Linked DNA regions of Styela clava. The protein of the gene in region 3 binds, or shares a complex with, the protein of the main gene of each other region. Links are inferred from orthologs where the notes say so. Each region holds a gene or a part of one and is shown on either strand. Other genes may lie near its edges.

Region 1 (7,308 bases), on a different chromosome or scaffold from region 3:
TTGTTTTTAATATATCTGCTTCCTGAGCATCTAATTGATTATGGAAAGTCAGACTCTCCTGTTAAAATAAACACAGTTTATAGACAAGTTCCTTCTTATGTGTGTGATAGAAACAATTCCATTGTCATCTGTTCGACACAAATATTTTGTTTTGAATAATTGATATTTTAATACTCCTTTGCTTTCGCATATGCTTTTATAGGAATAATGAATAAATGAACAATTTTCATTTAATTGAATTTCAAGATAATTCTCTCACAATAAAATGATGAAACTACCTAAAATGATCCTTGCAATCACTGTTTTGCAATTGTACTGTGTAACATTGTTTATTGCAAATGAGTTTCCAACCGGCTGTTTATCACGAATAGGTTCTACTGACTTACGCACCTGTTGTAAATGGGCTTTGATTTTTTCATAAACTTTACTGATGTGATCTGCTTCCTGACTTTTTAATCTTGCTTTATCCAAACGATTTTCCAGTTGTCTTAAATGCTATTGTAATGTAAACATAAAAACAATTCTCAAATATGTTGACACAAGGGTCATATACCAGTGTTTCCATACTTCGTAAAAAGCGTTTCCATAAATTAAAAAATAAAAAATAAATTTGGGTAAATATGGGGGCCAATATGACTCATGGAAAATTAAAACAATATATAAGTAATTATCATCTAGCATCTATTTTCATCTTTAAATACTGAAGATTTGAAATTGATTTGAGATTGATCCCCTTGTTGCGGTGAAAGACAATTTTCCCAATAATAACAATTTAGCAAAATGATGCATGTACACCTCATGTCGTACAGTGAGCATGACTAAGTTTTGCTAAAACTTGAATTCAGACGAATCATAACAAGAATAAAATTGAATATTCATAGATGGATTGATCGATGATTTAACAATTCAAATTCTATACCAGATTATTACTGAAAAGTCAAATTGTATTTTGACATAAAAATGTTCTCATTATCTGTAGGAAATATCGACCAGTATCAAATTTCACAATATCTCTGTATTGGGCATTGTTTGCAGGATTGGAAATGATGTGTGAAGGCTGTGTGAAATAATAAAGATGCTATCATTGATTATTTTCCTTAAGTTAAATAAAACAAATTTCTAATCACAAAAGAAAATTGAACTATTTTACGCATGAAAAAAAATCATATTTACCTGAGCTGATTCACTCTCTCCTTTATCTAACTCTTCAGCAGCTGATTTGTCCTTCACCATCTGATCATGTTGGGTTTGAAGTTCATTCAATTTTCTTTTTCTTGCTTCACTCGTCGATTTCAAAGCATTCAATCTCTTCTTACTGTCACAAACCTGGGCATAATTTTACAAGGTTAGGAGCAATAATACAAATAAAATTACACATGAATTGATAAATTTTAGATTACAATATTACAATACAATATTTTACTAGATTCAAATTAATTTTCTGGTAATACTTTTAATTTTAGGTCAATTCCAACTCATAGCAGGTTTAACTTATTGTAGAATGACTTGGATACAAAGTAGTCACATGCTAGAAAGGCACTTCACAAATCTCACCAAAGAACACCTTTATATTGAAGTTGTATAAAAGTATATTGTCAAAATTGAAAAATAAATAAAATAACCTTTTGATCTATAATCATGATAGCAGTTTTTCCAGACTTGTTACGCAATGCTGCTCGTTCCACATGTCTACCTTCAAATGCTTCATCTATAACTTTATCATCTCCCTGAACAAATCAAAAAGCATGTTCAACAAATTTAAAAAACACGAATGTAATTGAAAAAACATGAGCCAAATTGCACAGATTGTGAAGTTTGAAAACTTTGGAGGTTGTTTTCTAAAAATGTAAACAATGCTAGCTAGAGGATACAGAGAATTCACAAAATATTCTTAATTCTCACACAGAATAGGCTACTTACCGCAAGCAGATCTGCTAATGTCTTGTGCAATGTTTTATTCTCTTGTCTCATTCTCGCGATAATCTCTCTGTTCTTCTTGATTGACCATTGTGAACTTTCATAATAAGCTTTACGATCACCCTCTATAAAAATATAAATTATGAGTTGACTGATCAGTGAGAAAATTTGATCTTTTGACAAACTAAAGTTTAAAATGAGGTTAAAATCAAACCCAGTAGTGAAATCACACTAAATTCAATAGAGCACAGTTCTCTGATTCCAAGATGTCTTAATATTTGGTTCAATAAAACAAACACACAATTTATCTCTGAAACAAGGGCGACAAGGGCCATGCTTGTTTCAATAATTTAAATTTATCATGGCGTTTTTAGCTAAAAACTCTCGAAAGCTATGGTAAAATTTTTTTCAATAAAACGAAAATATGAGGCATTTTTGGATTGCGCTGTCTTTTAGTTTGTTGTGCAGTGCCGGTTTTTCGTCAGTATGGAGGCCCAGACTGTCTCAAGAAGAAATGGGTTGCATTCACTGTTATAATTGATGTCTTTTAATATGGGGACTATCCTTGGAATCGGAGAACTGTGTCCTACTGATATTTGGATTAAAAGAGATAATAAAAAACAATAATACTAAAATATTCTGATGACAAATATATAAATGCAGTGATGATCACTGAGACTTGTAATGAGTTCATTCAACATTCTGACAATTGATCTAACTTACCAGAATTTAAGTGAAAATAAAGTATATCATTGAGTGAAAATAACATATAGGCTACAAATAATTATAATAATGTGTCAGTGTGTAGGGTTTGATACCGCAAAACACCATGATACAGACATACACCATTCTGGACTGCGGTAATTAAAAATTACTAACTTACCCAAAAGCGAAATTTTTTTGGTGATTTCCGATATTTGTTCTTGAATTGGAGGTTTATGCATTCCTGACTGACCTCTCATATTGCTGTTGAGGCGCTGTATTATATCGGTACAGCGATGAAATAAAAGTATAACTTTGAAGTCACAAATATACCTCCAAACAACTAACCGCGCAGATCACGTAAACCAGAATCGTGCCGGTTTAGAGAATGAACACGAAACGTTGCCGGTAGCAACAACTTTGCTCAAACATCAGTGAGAAGTGCTTACCGGAGTCAATATGAAAAGAAGGTGTTAAAGGTGGGTTATCACAGAAATTATTTTTGATGAATTTCATTTTATATATTTTTTTAAAATTTTGACGCTTACTATTTACATAGAGTCGACTTAGTTTTCTACTTATTAATTTCAAAAAATACATTTAACGAAAATCGTCCGCAGTTCAGAAAGGACCTTTGATGACGGGGAACTGAGAATTCCTTCCAGGACTTCATCGCGCATTCGCGAGTAGGATGTTTAACCTCTGTTATTGGCATTTCATTATGGTTTCTCGTTGCGTAGTTTCATAAAGATTGGAACAATAATGCCGCAGGTCGTGCCCTTAGTAAGGACTATTGCTGCAAGCTCTGCGGTAATTTCGAAATCATTATTAACTCCCCGTAAGAAGATCGCCAACTGAGCAGTAACCTTGATGCCAGCATTGATGACTACATGATGCCAGTGCTTTCGTCAAGCGCCAAGGAATACGATGAAAATTTTCCCGCCTTTGCAATTGAAGTCTCCGCTGTTAGACTTCTCAAGTTCTTTGACATGACGAGTTATGGTCTGTCTTGACAGGCTATTTTTGCAAACACCTCTTTTATTTCCGGACGTAAAACATTGGCAACCCGAACAATATATAATATACATTCATTAGCGAATTCTCAATCTGAGAATGGCTTCTATTGTTTTGCGATAACATCATATAGAGTAGTTAAAGACCAAGTGTGTAAGCGGCTATGGCACCTTTATTTATCGATATTTCCTCCAAGTTGGTTTCGATTCGAAATGACCCTAATGTCTCGTTTGCAAGGGCTGGCAGAGCGCATTTCAGGAAAATATACAAATCGTTTGTATCACATCTTTGTATACTACATCACTCAAAAAATAGATTTACTCCAATTTTTTTATCCAATTCTGAAAAATACGGCGCGGGCCACTCAAAATGCTTCCGCTGGCCACGGGTTAGGCGACCCTTCTTTAAAGAAATCTGTAAGGTCCTTGCTAATGATACGAATCATAAGTTATAGAAAACGAATAGACAGACCGTCCGTTCAAAAGCCTTTCTTTAATCCTTTTTGTTAACGATGGAAATAATTTCATATTCTAGTATAGGCTCCAGATAGATTAAATTTTTCTGAGGTTTGCCCAAATACTTCATAAAATTTATAGAATTATTTGCTAGCTTCGATGCAAGATTAGGTCCAAAATTTACAAAGTAAGTGTTAAATTCTTGGCATATGGACTGGGGGTTGTATATGATTCTATGAGTTGTCTCAATTTCGTGTGGAAAATTTCGTTTACGTTTCTTATTGGTGATTGTGTTAATGAGACTCCAAGTCTTCTTTTTGTCGCCCTCTATAGTTCTTTAAATTCTGCTTTGTAAAATTTCGTTTAAGCCTTTTTCTTGATGTGTGAGAGAATGTTGAAGTATCTTTTGTGATACCTTATTTTTGATTTGTCTGTCGACAAAAAATGACATTTATACAAAACGTTTATGAGTCGAGATTAATTTCTTGATATCTATTGGGAAACATGGTTTCGAGACAAATCTCAGTTCTTTGGGTGTTTTTTCCTCAGTGCGGCATGTTTGTCAACAACCGATTTTAGAGTTTCCAGAAGCGTACCGAATGATTTTTCAATATCAAGCTTGAATAAACAGTCAATATTTAATTTAGCTGTTGAGTTTTCAATGTCTTCCAAAAATGATTCAAGGTGGAAGTATTTCAATGATCGCACAAATTTTGTCTCTGAATTCTTTTTTAATGGTTTATTGCGAAGTATACACACTGAAAAGATGGTCAGAAATACCATACCACAAGGCATAATCCAACAACTGTAAATCGTTTTCGTTGCTGTATATATATGTGATCAATTGAGGTGCAAGAGATATCAGTGATTCTGGTATAGGCGCAGTTGTGAACACTTGTAATGAATTAGACAGTAACATGTTTGAGTATTCAAAAACGAAGGAATCAGAAGTTTTGCACAAATTTATTTTAAAGTCGCCAAGAAAGAAAGCTGTTTTCTTGTTTATCATAATTTTGTGCAGCGACTCGTTTAGCAATGTGTGGAATTTTTTGCGAGCTTGTTTGGCATGTCTATATATTTCCGGTACAATCACTTGTTTGCTATTGTTTAGATTGACACTTATCCACAGATCCTTCCAGCCAACAAGATTAAGCTTATATTCATCTGTTTTGAAATATTCAACATAGTCTTTTATGTAAAAACACACTCCCCCGGCCGTTGTTGGAGAATCCTCGTGTATAAAAGAGTAACCTGAGAAGAACTGAATATATACCTGAATAAGATATATATACAGATATACAAAATAAGACTGGGTACAGAATTACAGACAACACCCACATAAAGTATTAAATCTAGATGATTTAAGACAACAAAAAATAGCCTAGAATGTTATTTCACTTTTAAGTATGTTACAGCAGTAGGTCGGGCACAGAGATCGAGTTTTTTTTCAACCTCAATTTGTTAAGTTTACTGTCATTCTAATAATGCAACGACATTCTTTGAAGGTATTGGTATGTTTTTAAACCACTGCGGCGTTTGCCAAGTGCAACTCCCAATAGAACTAGCATACGGTTCGAAATAAGAACACAGAACGCTATGAATGCCTTTAACCTAATGAACAATTATGCCGACGAGGTTTCTGCAGGGTTGATTTTTATAAATGCGTGTCTCGCAAACAAAGTCCACCATACGTAAGCAGTAAACGCCAATATTCTTAAAAAAATATGTATAATTAAATTCGTCATAAAACTTTATCCGTAACAACCCACTTTTCTAAATAGAAATAACGACAGCAACTAGTGACTGTGGTGCATAGTAAAATGCGTCAAAAAGGTTAATAATATAAACGCAAAGTTTACATACCTACTTCACACTCTTCTCGAGAAAATGGGCCCGAAAATGGATCACTTCACATAAGAAAATTTTTGCTTTGCTGTGATTATTCAACAGTAGAAAGTATATTTGCGAGTAGTTTCAATTTACTACCATATTCAATAAATAAATAATTACCTATACTGTTCCAGGAATCTATTACCGATTAGTATTCCCCCTTACATAAAAAGCATAGATGTGAATGTTTTAGAGGAGCGATGCACATCAGCATACAGCAGCATTAGCTGAATTAAAACAATTATCATCATGTGCTATCGATTGGGTGTCTCAGGGACTAACTATTATGTTTCTTTAATTTTTTGTGTCGGTGGATCCGTGTTCATATAGTGCAAGGATGCTGTAGTAAGAGTGAAGATGACTATCCTGAAGAGTCTTGATCGACTTGGGATAATTATCATTCATCATGCTACATATTTTTTTATATTTCCAAATATGGGATACACTTGAATGTAACCAGTGGTGGGATTAAGCCGGTTCGCATCGGTTCTATAGCACCGTCTCACGGAATTTTATGTGATCAGCGAACCGGTTAGAACTACTGGTTACTGTCAATGGATCAATATAAAATAAATATATACACTATACAGCAATATTTTTATTTTTATAGACAATCCTAAACATCATCAAAAATTTTGACAAAATGATGTTTACCCAACCATTTTTTTGAATTGTTAATTAGGGAGTAGTTAAAAAAAATCAGTTTATTTGCCAAAAAAATATGACTTTTTGTAACAGAACCGGCTAAAAAATATGACTTTTGTGATGGAACTGGCTGACAAAAAGTGTGAATCATACCACTAAATGTAACTCCTGTTCTCTTTCGCTTGGATCTGCAGGCTTGTCCATGGGACATATTTTTCTGTCCCATCCCATAGATATGTAAGCCCGTTCCATCCCATTGGAAATATTTTTCAATAAAAAGTTCTAAAATTAGGTTTAGCGTTTACTAAATAGGACTACATGTACAAAGAGACATGCAAAACGACGAAATTCATTGACTTTGTTAAATTGAAAAATTTAGAACTAACTAACAAGAGAGCTATGCTCAAACATATGGACACAAAGTCCATAACGAAATGTTTTGCCATCAATTCCCACAAAATCATACGACATCATGAACGAACCTAAACAGCAACAGTAACTTACCAGTACCTGAACGCTGCGCTTTGTAGCCAATGTCTGCGGACTGACACGTTGGGAAACACTGTTTTAAACAATCACCAACGGTGGGAGCGAGAGTATTCCTGGACCTATTCATAGTGAAACATGAACGATTGATACTAGCTTACGCTAAAGTTTTTTAAACCGAAGCTTTTGCATGTGATGT
Region 2 (5,817 bases), on a different chromosome or scaffold from region 3:
TTCAGCAGATAATTCTTTTTGAGTTAACTGCCCCCCAAACAATGATTTTGACTAGTTTGGCATAGTGACTTCCGACCCTCTGTAATATCGACGTGTCAAGCATCACTATACTGAAAGCAACAGATTGTTAGAAATATTTACACTGCTCTTTCAGAATTGAAAATTCACAGATCATTGATTTTTTATAATTTGTGCAACAAGTTTATTAAGAAAATTCATTGAAATACTTTGCGCTACACATTTACAAAATGTTAAGATCAATATTTTTTTTTCAGATAACTTCCACTCCCACATGATATTAGTTCCAAGGTTTGTCTTGCTTTTCGATATGAGTTGATAGTTCATTTACCGCGTTGCCAAAGAAAATGTGATGGAGAGAACAAATGAAAATACTGGCTGCTTCTACAGCTGCCAATTTTACAGTTATATAAATGTTCAAGTTAAATATCACCTATAATTTTATTTACATATACTATCGCAATAAATAAACACATATATTTAAAACAATAGACTTCTTTTATTCGGAGTAAATGGTATATGCAGGCAATTGGTTAGGAAAAACCAACTTGGCCTTGCTAATAATGTATAGAATGGAAAGGTTTTATTAGTGACTGCTATAACATATTAAGCTAGTAATGTGCTCATCAGGCCTGAATTGTACTAGTACCTCGTCATATATTGCCAAATACTTTTATGCGGAATCTTGTGCAGTTATTTAAGTTCAGAAAATTTTTTCAATGGTTAGTCATACTTTGGTAAAAATTTAAATCTGCTTAAAATGTACTTAGTTTTTGGAGGAGAAATCTGTAAAATCCATTGCAACATCTGCTAGTTTAGCTTCATATACTTCTAAGCTTTTCTCGTCTGGTAGACAGGGTCCGAAAGCTTCCAATAGGAGTTCTTCTGCTACAACTGCTTGTTTGAAATCTGCGAATGAAAGACGACTGTCATGATCAAAATCCATTTTCTTCAATGCTGTTTCAACCAAGTCTTTTACGCCTTCATCTGGATCTTCTTCGGTCGGTTGCTTTACTAAAGAATTTTTCAGCATTTGGAACATTTCCTCACGCGATATGTAACTATCGCCATTAAGATCATACACTTTGAAAGTATAATCAATTTTTTCATCAAGTGTTCCTCTCATGAAAACAGATAAACCTTCAACCCATTCTTTTGTGTTGATGTAAGAGTCACTGTCTGTGTCAAATGCTCGAAAAACACGATCCATAAGTAGATCTTCTGTCATACTGAACCAAACTTGCAAAAAATCTCGAAATTGGTTTCGATCAAGTTTTTCGCCTTTGTTGTTGAAACCTTTGAACAACACAAGCAAGGCTTGGACTTCTCTTCTATTGAAGTGAAGTGTTGGTGCACCTTTGCAGATATCATCTGCATCTTTTTGTAGATTTTTCCTATTAAGTCCATTCATGATATACATTATGTCAAATACACAATATCTTAACTTTAAATTTCTACTTCATTTTCATACTAATGACTCTGTAAAAGAACAGGACATAGTTTCGTTTCAAAGTAAGATTTTTGACCTTTTCCTATCTTCCATTTTTTTTTTACAAAAACTATCAGGAGCATGAAAGCTTTAGAATGGAAGTCAACGAAATTGCTGTAATATTGAAGCGGTGGTTGATTTTTGGTAGATCTATGATGATTATGAACAATAATTTTGATCATTCATACCTACTTAGGTCTAGAGTCACAGAACACTTGAACATATGTTGTTGGGAGATGGTATGGAGGTATACAGATATTTCGCACCGCTGATTTTTCCGGCCACAATGGTTGGTTTGAGTTGTGATTTTTAGTCACCTTGTGAGTTGTTTTTAACAGTACATGTGGAATTGTAGGATAGTTGAGGCTGATACTATGGTAAACAAATATCAATAAATAAGTCAACATATACTTGTAGGCCTAGACTATATTATTATTTTTAAAAAACTCCCAATGCACTGAAAGTCAAAATCACAACTCCTTATGTGGTACCAATAGATTTTGTAATAAATAATTTGCCCAGTCATGATATACGTTGACTGGAAAAACATAAAGACCAAAAAGGCGACTTTCACAATCCAGTTTTTAATGGAGCTTTCTTGTCAGGAGAACAGCTGCCAAAATGCACGTTTCATAGTTAACTACAAAACAGGGGTGGACAACTGTGAAGGCAGTGCCAGTTATTGACTGTACTATTCAGATGGTAATTATAAAGCAGATTCTGAATTGCTATATGTTCAACAACATACAAAGCATTGGGCAGTTCCGCGTGCGAGCAGATTATAGGTTAACGTTAACTGTTATGAAGATAATGTCAAGAACATCTCTATTGCTGACAGCCTCTAACACAGTTTTATCATTCTTTAATATAGTAGGTGATCACGAAATGTTAAACCAACAAATAGTAACAGCCATTCCATTGGCATTTTCGGAACAAAATATGTACAGACGTATAACGTAGTCGATAAACTTAGACTACTTACTACACAGCAATGCTGGAAAGCAAGAACGCGGCGATGCTCGTATCCAAGGAAACCATGTAATCACTAGGTGGCACTCGTGAGATATTGAGAAAAAACTTGAGATGTAGATCAACCGTAAATATGATCAACCAACAAAAACAGTACAAGCCAAGCGTTAGTGTGCGATATCTTGGGGCACTAGGGTTGAAATATTTATTTCAAAACTATGAAAAAATACTTTTTCGGTTATTCAATATAAGTATCTTTATGTATAAGTACATCACATGGCCATAAGCAGAAATTCCTTGTTAGGGGGTTTTCATCGAAACTAATTTTACCAAAACTAAATGCAATGACCATTAATTTTTTTTATTGAAATCCATCCCATTTTTTCACATTTAATATAACAATGATTGTTATATCGTCGGTAGTCATTAGTAACTTTTGTATAAGCAAAATTTCAAATTTATGTAGGAGTTTTCATGACTTGTTCGGTCACGTTCGAAATTGACGTCCCTATTTCATTATATGCTACATCTATTCTATATTCATTCCTGATTTGGTTTTCTTTCTGAAGTCTTTGTTATTATTATTCACGTATTGCCCATGTGCTGATTATTTTGTCATGCAAACAACGACTAACATACCGTGTGCATACCATACCATATTTGGGGAAATAAAATCTCTGCAAATTTACCATTTTATTTCAAGCCATATTCTGATGTTCATGTTCTCACTCGTGGTGGCACTGCAGAGCAATTTACTCACAGTTTCGTTTTCGCTTGACGTTGTGCTGTTCTAGTTCCTTCGCTGTGTGCTAAAACTGTTATCTGGGTACACTGCTTGTTTCAGTATTCTTGAGCTTTGTCAGAGAAAAAACATTGTGTGAGGTGATGGAAGATTCTGAGAACGTGCCTGTGAAAAATTCAGAGGTAAGTTTGCTGTCTATCTAAGTAACCTAGGCTATATTTCTGTGTTTTTAGACTACTGGTACTACAGTACTAAGATTTCAGACTCTTTTAGTCTCAAAGTGTTCTATTCTTGTACGGTACCTTATTCAGTACTGCAATACGGTTAGTCAGCAGTCGAACTACAAAACTGAGCTTAGTTCAATAGATATCGGTTTTCATATTTTATTTATTCAAAAATCTTGTAATTGTCTACTTCTGTACTTTGTAATTTTGTTTTTTTGATAAATGAAAATAAAATCCATCCCCCAAAATAATCCCTAGTGTTATTATTTGAAAAAAAATTGGTATAAGACCTTGTCCTAAAAAAACATGGTATGCTATTTATGAATTCATTCTTTTTAAGTACGAAGTACGATTGTTGTGATGTGTTTTTTCCAATTGTTTGAGTCTGGGTGAATAAGCACAAACAAACAAACAATAGGCTACAAATATTACTCTAGGTTTTGCCCATTTTCACGATCTTTCCGTCTTCATTGTCTGTGTTCTTTATTTATTTTTTTATTTGTATTCTGTGTTGTAGACGAAAGATTGAAATAAAACTATAAATAACTTAAATAACGAGTTGCACATTTAATAACCTATTATGTTCCCAGTTCAGAATGGCACATTTGTATTTATATGTGACAAAGAAACCCTTTAATTCAACTGTCACTGTTAATTTTGTTTGTACTGATGTATATCTCACTTGACTATAACTTAAGGTCAAGATGGAGAATATTGGACAAGGACATCAATTTACAGATGATGAATTGCTTAACATGAGTGTGAGAGATCTTAACAGAAGTTTACGAAACCTGACACCAGAGGTAGTATAAAATCATACTTCATTATAGCAAAACAGATTTTAAAAAGAGAAACGTATGGACAAAAATACAGCAAGTAGACCTGTTATGTTAGGAAAATATATAAAGAATAGAAATTTAGTAGTTTCTATACCAGTGTTTCTCAAACTGTGTGCGGCACACTAGTGTGCCATGAGAGATTCTCAAGTGTGCCGCGGAGCTTTTTGGAATTCTAGAAAATAAGCTGTTTGTATTACACATAGACATGCACGCAACTTATGAGATTTGATAATCCATAATTAATTAGACTGATAATATTATTGCATTTGCCTTGTCTTGTAGTAAGGGGTATTGTTCCAGTATACTTGCGTTGTGATGTGATAATGTTTTTTGTAAAAATGATATCCACCTTCCACTATGTTCAATTGAGCGTTGAGTTAGGCCAGTGGTCGGCAAAATTTGTGTACCTGCGGGCCGAATATACACATTTCCCGTTCAAATGACGATCTGTCAAGCGAGTACGAAGTTTGCAGACCCCTGAGTTAGGCTAACAGGAAAGCCAGTTTGGTTGAGTTTTGGCTATCTGCTAACAAATTCTATTCAATCATCGGTGCAAAATCCATCAAAATAATCTATCCATTTGCATCTACATGGCTCTATTAATCTGTATTTTCTGCTCTGGCTGTAATCAAAAGCAAAAAAGGGAGCGACGGACCCTCGTTTGAGTCGTTTCTCAAAACAGGCACACACATCGCATTAACATTTGTAGAATAATTTGTCCAAGTCTAGCTCAAATTTTTCACAAGTGTGCCGCGAGATTTTTCTTATTTGCTGGGTGTGCCGTGAGCAAAAAAAGTTTGAGAACCACTGTTCTATACGTTCAATATTCATTATAAAGCACTGTATATAATAAACAGCTTACCACAAGGCTTACTCTTGTAACCGTATATGCTGCGTATTGGAACATAGCCTATCACTCCGAATATTGCTGATCTTGATAGACTTCAATGATCATTTTTTTTAGAACATAGATTTTAAAAAATTTGTGGACCCAACTGTTTATTTATCAGTCATCTACATTTCATATTGGAAATTTTGAAGGTTTGCTTCTGATGTGGAAACTTGGTCCACCTTAATGTTTAGGAATGTGTTACCTGAAGTAGGGCAGTGTCAGTGATATGCTAAATGGATTTCTTATGATGCAAATTGAAAATATATATCAAAATATTTTTTCATAGGAAAGTAGGAGATTAAAACAGAGAAGGCGAACATTGAAGAATCGTGGTTATGCAGCATCATGCCGTATCAAACGATTAACACAGAAAGATGAACTGGATTTACAAAGACAGAAGCTGCAAAAAGAGGTTGGCGCGAATAATGATTATCCAGATTAATATATATATATATAACTTAAATGTCAAAATATATTGAATATTCAACCACCGGTACTACTTTACTGTATCAATAGTAAATTTTGCAGAAAAAACGTCAATTTGACTCGATTTGCAAGTAGAGATGTACCGATACCACTTTTGTCACCGATACCGATCCGATACCAGCTAAAAACGCCGATACCGATACGCCGATTCTACAAAA
Region 3 (6,983 bases):
TTAAGCTAACAATATTATCATTTCTGACGTCGGAATGCGGATATTTATAAAGACGATAGTTGACCTTTATTTAATTTTACTTTCCTATTGTGTCTGTTTTATTTTCATATTAATTGGTGAATAAAAAACCTGCAAAGTCATTGCGTGAATCCGGAATGTTATTTTGAGTTTAAATAATAATTAAATAAATGGGCAATAATGGGAATTCTCAAATAATAATTCCCTGGTCCAATTTGGGAAAAATTTCCCACAATAATTTATTCCCTTGGTTGACATTTTCAATTTTACGATACAGTGTTGGCGGCTGGCGCGCATTATTCAAAACTTAGAATTGAAACAATACCCAAATACCTGGAATATGACTCCTCAAATTTGTCGTTTTTGTTTGTTAGCAAAAGCCATGAGCCTTGTGGAATTCAAGGGATTAGAAATTGGAATCACTTGAAATAAATTCAAAAATGAAATCTCTTTGCGGCACACCAAAATCTTTTCGCGGCACACTAATGTGCCGCGACACCCTGGTTCATAACCACTGGTCTAGTAAATTATTTGTATTCAAATAGTTTGCTATTCTAGGATAATTCTGTAAGTGCAAATAGAGTATTTAAATTGTTCAATCTTGTTCAATTGTTATAGAATGAGTGATATACTAAAAAATACCAAGTGCAATCATTCAGTATCAAAAAACTTATGCATGAAATCATTATTTTCAGTTTCAGAATAATATAAACATTTCTGAATTACGGTATGTAACAAATAAGTAATGACTTGTGCAGTTAATTGTCATCTTTGTCACAGAAATCGACCTAGAGTGCAGAGCACTTTGAGCGTCTCCGGACGTTGGAGAATATTATTATCAACAAGATAGTAACCTAAATCTAGAACCAGTTCTGTCAGTCAATTGCAATGAAATCCTGTATCCTAAACCTAAAGTATTATAATTTGTGTTAAAATATTCATGATTTCTTGCATGTCGAAATAAAGTTATTGTCCATTGACCAAATTGGAAAAACATTTTTTCATCTGAACAAGGCAGATCAAACCAAGAGAAAAGTGCATATTTGTTGAATACCCATGTAGAGTTTCTGCCATTGAAAATGTAAAGAAATGATAAAGACAGTGCAAATAACCTGTAAGCTCCCCTGGGTTTCGCTTTTCCCTTTCCTTCATCCATCTTATTGAAAAATGATAAATCACCTTTGTTTTCAAGTTTAACAGAGGATGGACCTGAATTTTTAGACAAATTAGGAGAAGTTATAAAAACAGAAAGGGTGAAGTTGCATTGAATATACTGTCTTGAACCTATTCAGGGAACTCATATGTCCTGGATCCGATGATGAATTTGGGATGACCAAAGAACTGACCAGAACTCAAATCGAAGCTTGAGCTACATCTTTACAGCACTAATAACTAGACGAAACATTTAGAATTGGGAAATTTAGATAATTGGCATGGAGGTTACTTGATTATTTCGTAAATACAAATTCAAATAAAGCTGAATATATTTTATAACACTTACTTCCTACACAATTATCAATTGCTTCCTGCGCTTTTTGAATTCCGAGTCTGAATTCTTGAAGTTCTGGACGTAATTTATGTCCTCTATGGTAAAATACAAGAGCGTATTCGAAATCTCCCATTTGGTATAGAGCTTCAGCTTTCTGATATAAGCCCTGAATGAGATAATATGAAAATCATTTAAAATAATAGAAAAATCATTTACAAGAAATCGTTCATAGACAAGGGTATCAACAATTAGGTAGGCGTTCCTCCAATTGATCATATATTTGGTAATCTACATTTTTTCTAGTGTATTATAAGGTTTGAACTCGGATTATCACGTTTGCGATGTGAGGTACCAATAATAACCATAAAATCACAGAATCTTAATAAATATTGGCCGTTCCATTTTTATATAAAGCAGCTAACTTTATGAAATTCTTTCTCTTCTGAAAGTGAAGCTTCAGCATCTTTCAATGCTTCTTGTGCATTACCAATCTGGAGATAACACTTTGATCTTGCAACAAGACAATTCTTGTCTGTCGGCTGAATACTCAGGGCCTGAAAAATAAAACTCAAACTGTAAGCAATTGGTATACTTTAGCATTAGACATAGGTAATAAAGGTTCCATAAGGTTGAAAAATCATCTAGGCATATTTTTTTTTTATATTCATTTATGGCAGACACTTGAAACATCTATATAGAATGATAGATAAAAAAAAAGCACAACGAACAATTATAGTGATAAACAATGAGCAGAAAATAATGCATAAAATTAATATGAGCAAATAGTATAAGCACTCTTAGACTACTACTACTACAAAACTCTTTTATAACAAGACCGCTACACCATCCTTACTTTACATCATAGATTCATGGTGTCTTAAAAATATATTTTTATAATAATTTGAAGAAAATATTACATAATAATATATATTACATATTTTGGCAAGATATTGCAATTATGGTATACAACACTGGCCATTGATTGTAATCGGCCACAAATGAGTCGAATCCCTCCCCTCTTTTATTCACTTCACTTCGTACTGGCCAATGCCGTCCCATACATTCGCTAAAAATAAGTCACCGCGAAGCAACCTTCTAATTTATCTTGAGAAATGGCGGACATGGGGCTTGAAACCAACATAACAAAATTGTGACTACAACATAGCTCGAACCAATTACCTAACCATTAAATTATTATCTAGATTGGGAAATTCAGAATTGTTTGATATATATTGAAAATTCTATTAGTTTAAAGTGAGTTATTGTGTTTTAACATTGAAAAAAAAAATTTCAACTATTTAGGTGGAGATATACTTCTCATATGCAATAATGTGACAATCTATAGGTGAAAACAGATTATGTCATGAAATGTCGTAGCAAATTTACAAGTTAATAAGAATTCTTACTTTGCAGAAATCTTCCAACGCAATGTGAAAATTTTGTTGCAATCTATTTTTTTCAGCTCTTTTAAAATACATATCAGCATATTTTTCATCATATTTTGTTTTTTTGTCTGGTTTTTTGATCTCTACACCATATTTATTAACTACTTTATTTTTTTCCTTTGCACTCTTTTCCATTATGAACTAATCTTTGCTGATAGTTATCCTGAATTTAATAACATAAATTTTGGAATACTGAATCAAAATTTTTAATCAATAACCTCAAAATCAGATTCCCCGATGAACGCTAAATCTGTGAGCACTGTTATAAACAGTAAAACCTTTATGATAACTTTTTACAGCTGGAGCAAGCTTATAGCAAAGTACCTCTGCATAACAGATTCTCTGATTATGGGCATTCTATTCGCCCTGTTATGTCTGGATAAAGTCATTTTTCAACTTCCAAATATGAAAACCCGTTTTAATGATAAACGAAATCTTCAGAAGTCATTAGTATACCGCTCATACTCCAAGCATAACTGCGTTTGGTATAGTTTTGTATTGAAAAATAAATTGTATGGAATAAATATTTAAAATGCTTAAATTAGAAGTTTATGACAGAATGTATAACACAATACTCTGCCTTCAATATGAGCAAAAAAATAAAATATGCTTGTTAAATGGTTAAATTCATGACTGACGGAAACTGGTAACCATATGAATTTGTGGACCATTATATGATTATGCCATTCTTTCCACACACTCTATATATAAATCATATCCTGCCTCCACAACTAATCTTACATTGAACTGCATTACACCATGTATAATACAAGTGATGCCTTATTATAAAATATTACACTGAGAGGTAATGACTCTATACATTCTTATACACCCAGTGCATGAACTTTTTATAATCGTTATTTTATTTTCTGGGCAGAAAAAGAATTGTTGCTATGTATCTAGTAACGCACCATAAACTTCATTTTCAGTCTCTCATTAGGAAAAAGAGAAAGGAAGAGCTTGTTTTACGAGAGTGTAGACAAAAATGACAATATTTTAGTTCTAAGCAAATAGTGTAATTGTCTGCTTTTCATGTTTTATATATTTACTTTGGTGGGTAGGTGGTATTTTAATTGATAAAATACTTAACCAAACATGAGTGTTAGAAACTTATCTTTGAATGAAAAAACTAATATGCTTGACCAAAATAACATACCGGTGAATAATTTTATTTTATCTTCAATAAAAAGTGACATCTAGGCATAATTGACTTCATTGTTGGATTACTTTCTAGGGCAAACAAGCCTCTATAGAAAAATTAATTTGTGAACAATTTAACAAGATGTCAGAGCATTATTCTTTAAACTGTTGATTCATGGTATTGGGATATATAAATAGCAGGAAGACTTACTTCCTAAGAACGAGCAGATGAGTCAGTCGAAAAGCAAGAAGCTCAGGTAAATTTGGCCCATTACAATATTGAACTAAAACACCGGTATTCCAGAGGAATTGTTTTAAAAGCATAGGCTGGCTTAAGTTATCAGATAGTTTTTAGTGAAAAAAAAAACAAATTCGGATATCAGTACTTTATGTTGGAAGCTGGCACTGCAATTATTTTCAAAAAATGGTATTTTTGAAGTCAATTGCAGTCTATGAATAATGCTTTACTAATGAAAAGGACAACTGAATACTCTTTGGAAACTATTGGATATAATTAAAAACAAATTCAGGATAAGTCTATGTTTTGAATGAAACCAGGCAGAAGAAAATCCTGTTGCAAATAACAAATTGTGATTCTGGCTGTGAATATACCATTGCTTCAACATTAATGACTAATATCAAGGTATGATAGAAAGAGCTTCAAAGTGAAAGGCAAGATTAATTCAGTTATACAGGGAAATCGTCGATTCTGCAATCCATGTTAGATAATTGGAAGAACGAGATTTTATTACCTCAGCACAGTTCTTCGATTCCAAGAATAACTCCTATATTAAAAGACATTAACTAAAACGATGAATGCAAACCCCTCCTTTACAAGACAAGCTGGCGCCTCCATATCCCCACCAAACGCAAACCAATACCACACAATAAACTAAAAGAAAGAAAATCTAATAAAGCTATAATTCTGTAATTGGATTACTAGGAAAAAATAATTTGTTTCACCAAAAAAAAATTATCATAGCATTCACAAGTTTTTAGCAAAAAAGGATGAATGCTGACATGTGACAGCCGACGCATGTGTGACAGACTTTTCGAAAAAGTCTACAGAGTTTTTTTTTTAAGAATTCTATTAGATGAAGAAAAAAATCCATATTAATCACTAATCTCTCAATATGCAACACATCTATGAAATATCGAGCAAATGGCAACAGTCATTAGGGCCAGCGGTCGATTAGACAGTGATTCTTTCCGGGTAATAATTACAGATGTTCTAATTAAACAAAGTTCATAAAAATTGGTAAGTTTCAACTTAAGAACTTTGTGTTGTGCGTAAACATTCAGGAGGATTTACATATTTACATATTTCTCCCGGGGGAGAGGAAAGCCGATAAGACGGCTTATCCATATGGCGAACCACGGCCTCTCGTCCGGTTACCATTCCAAGTCGGGTATGGGATTAGTTTTACTGTATTGTTTGTTTTCGGAAGCATGAACTTGGTGGTGGAGGAAGCCGTAACCGACCAGCGGTTACGTGAACCACCCAACGACGGCGAGGAGTCCAGCAATCCTCTCGCACATAACCATCCCTGCATGGGATTCGAACCTGCGAACCCAAGCAGAGTAGTTAGAGGTGCGGTGGCGAGCGTATTCCTAACGCTTAGCCCGTTGAGCCACACCGCCGCGCCTGATATCCTGATACCGTGATATCAGAATATACGGTACTTAAATACTGACGAAAATTAGGGTATATAAATAAAAATTATTGAATAATTTGTTGCCATATATTGTTATAAATTAAATATAAATTGAGACAACAAGAAAATAAAGTAAATCTGTAAATGGAAGTTTATACCGTTGTATAACTCTCCAATGCTTTCTGAAATTCTCCCGCGTTATAAAGTTTGTCTCCTTCCGCTACGTAAGTAGGAAAAGAACTTTTAGGTTCATCTTCTCCTTCTTCGTCATACATTCTCTTATACAAATACCTTATATGTGTTAAACAGTAAAAGTAACGAATAACTTTACAACCTAGAAAATCAGAACGTCATAAAACAATGGGAGCAGGATAAGAATGCGGCGGCGTGTTGTCATAACAACTGCAAAGAGTAGTCTCCTAGAAGCCTGCACATTTATTTTTGTTATACCGGATGTTTCTCCTAGGGTTGATTTCCGTAACAATGATAAAAAAGTCGACGTAACAATTGTAAATTTTTGCAGACGCTCAGATCTTTCGTTTGCTCAGACAAATATTCAAGCATGGTCGTGAACATTGCCTCGTTTTTTGCGGTTTTGCCTGTTATTTGTCAGTTTCAGTTGTGTTTCCAAAAATTAGTTGTAAATGGGGTATTTTGCTTTTAGTTCTGTCTTCCGATGAGTTTTAGTTTAGTAGCAATAATCTAAAACTAGTTTCGGAGAAGCAGCGATAGACTAAATTAACTATCAGTACGCGCGGGCGGCACGTGATTGTATATTTTAATGAAAATAATGATTTTGAGCATGTAGCCTAAATCAGTTTTTCAAGTGTCAAATCTCTAAAACACTTGCAAAATAAGCATCCCAAATTTTATAGTACTGTACATGGAGAATTTTTCTGGGGTCAAGGGTCATGCCAGCAGCAGCAACATAAAAAAATATTGCAGGTGCAGATATAATTTCCATGTGAATCCAAATCATTTTTGTCCAATGCGAAAAAAAGAGGACTTGCACGGGTCACGTGACTTTGTTACTGGACGGCAATAAAACAAAAACGTCCATTTGGCTCCTGTCAGTTGCAAGTCGGATTATACGTTTCCGTTTTGTTTGGCTGTTGAAAATGGTTATTTCGTATTGTTCCGTTGGCTGTACGTATAATATATAGACAACGAAATGGATCTTAAGTTATATTCCACTGATTTCAAAAGATCCGGAACGTCGCGCAATGTGGATATCAT

What was found.
Region 1: outer dynein arm-docking complex subunit 4-like (region 3) and outer dynein arm-docking complex subunit 3-like share a complex: the UniProt entries of both Homo sapiens proteins name them as parts of the outer dynein arm-docking complex. The link is inferred for Styela clava from reciprocal best matches to the Homo sapiens genes ODAD4 and ODAD3.
Region 2: outer dynein arm-docking complex subunit 4-like (region 3) and calaxin-like share a complex: the UniProt entries of both Homo sapiens proteins name them as parts of the outer dynein arm-docking complex. The link is inferred for Styela clava from reciprocal best matches to the Homo sapiens genes ODAD4 and CLXN.

The regions. Positions count from the first base shown.
Region 1 is NC_135254.1:24,001,128-24,008,435, reverse strand, and holds the start of outer dynein arm-docking complex subunit 3-like, read right to left. Parts: upstream 3,029-7,308; 5' UTR 2,880-3,028; coding exon 2,801-2,879; intron 2,043-2,800; coding exon 1,921-2,042; intron 1,728-1,920; coding exon 1,623-1,727; intron 1,327-1,622; coding exon 1,174-1,326; intron 496-1,173; coding exon 391-495; intron 59-390; coding exon 1-58. UniProt on the Homo sapiens protein: Component of the outer dynein arm-docking complex (ODA-DC) that mediates outer dynein arms (ODA) binding onto the doublet microtubule. Involved in mediating assembly of both ODAs and their axonemal docking complex onto ciliary microtubules.
Region 2 is NC_135260.1:14,792,917-14,798,733, reverse strand, and holds calaxin-like, read right to left. Parts: upstream 1,518-5,817; 5' UTR 1,439-1,517; coding exon 785-1,438; 3' UTR 531-784; downstream 1-530. Other genes in the region: NFU1 iron-sulfur cluster scaffold homolog, mitochondrial-like, read left to right, coding at 276-296; transcription factor MafK-like, read left to right, coding at 3,362-3,400, 4,141-4,245, 5,460-5,585. UniProt on the Homo sapiens protein: Component of the outer dynein arm-docking complex (ODA-DC) that mediates outer dynein arms (ODA) binding onto the doublet microtubule. Seems to regulate the assembly of both ODAs and their axonemal docking complex onto ciliary microtubules.
Region 3 is NC_135250.1:16,655,586-16,662,568, reverse strand, and holds the start of outer dynein arm-docking complex subunit 4-like, read right to left. Parts: upstream 3,103-6,983; 5' UTR 3,088-3,102; coding exon 2,914-3,087; intron 2,062-2,913; coding exon 1,930-2,061; intron 1,674-1,929; coding exon 1,520-1,673; intron 1,228-1,519; coding exon 1,131-1,227; intron 1-1,130. UniProt on the Homo sapiens protein: Component of the outer dynein arm-docking complex (ODA-DC) that mediates outer dynein arms (ODA) binding onto the doublet microtubule. Plays an essential role for the assembly of ODA-DC and for the docking of ODA in ciliary axoneme.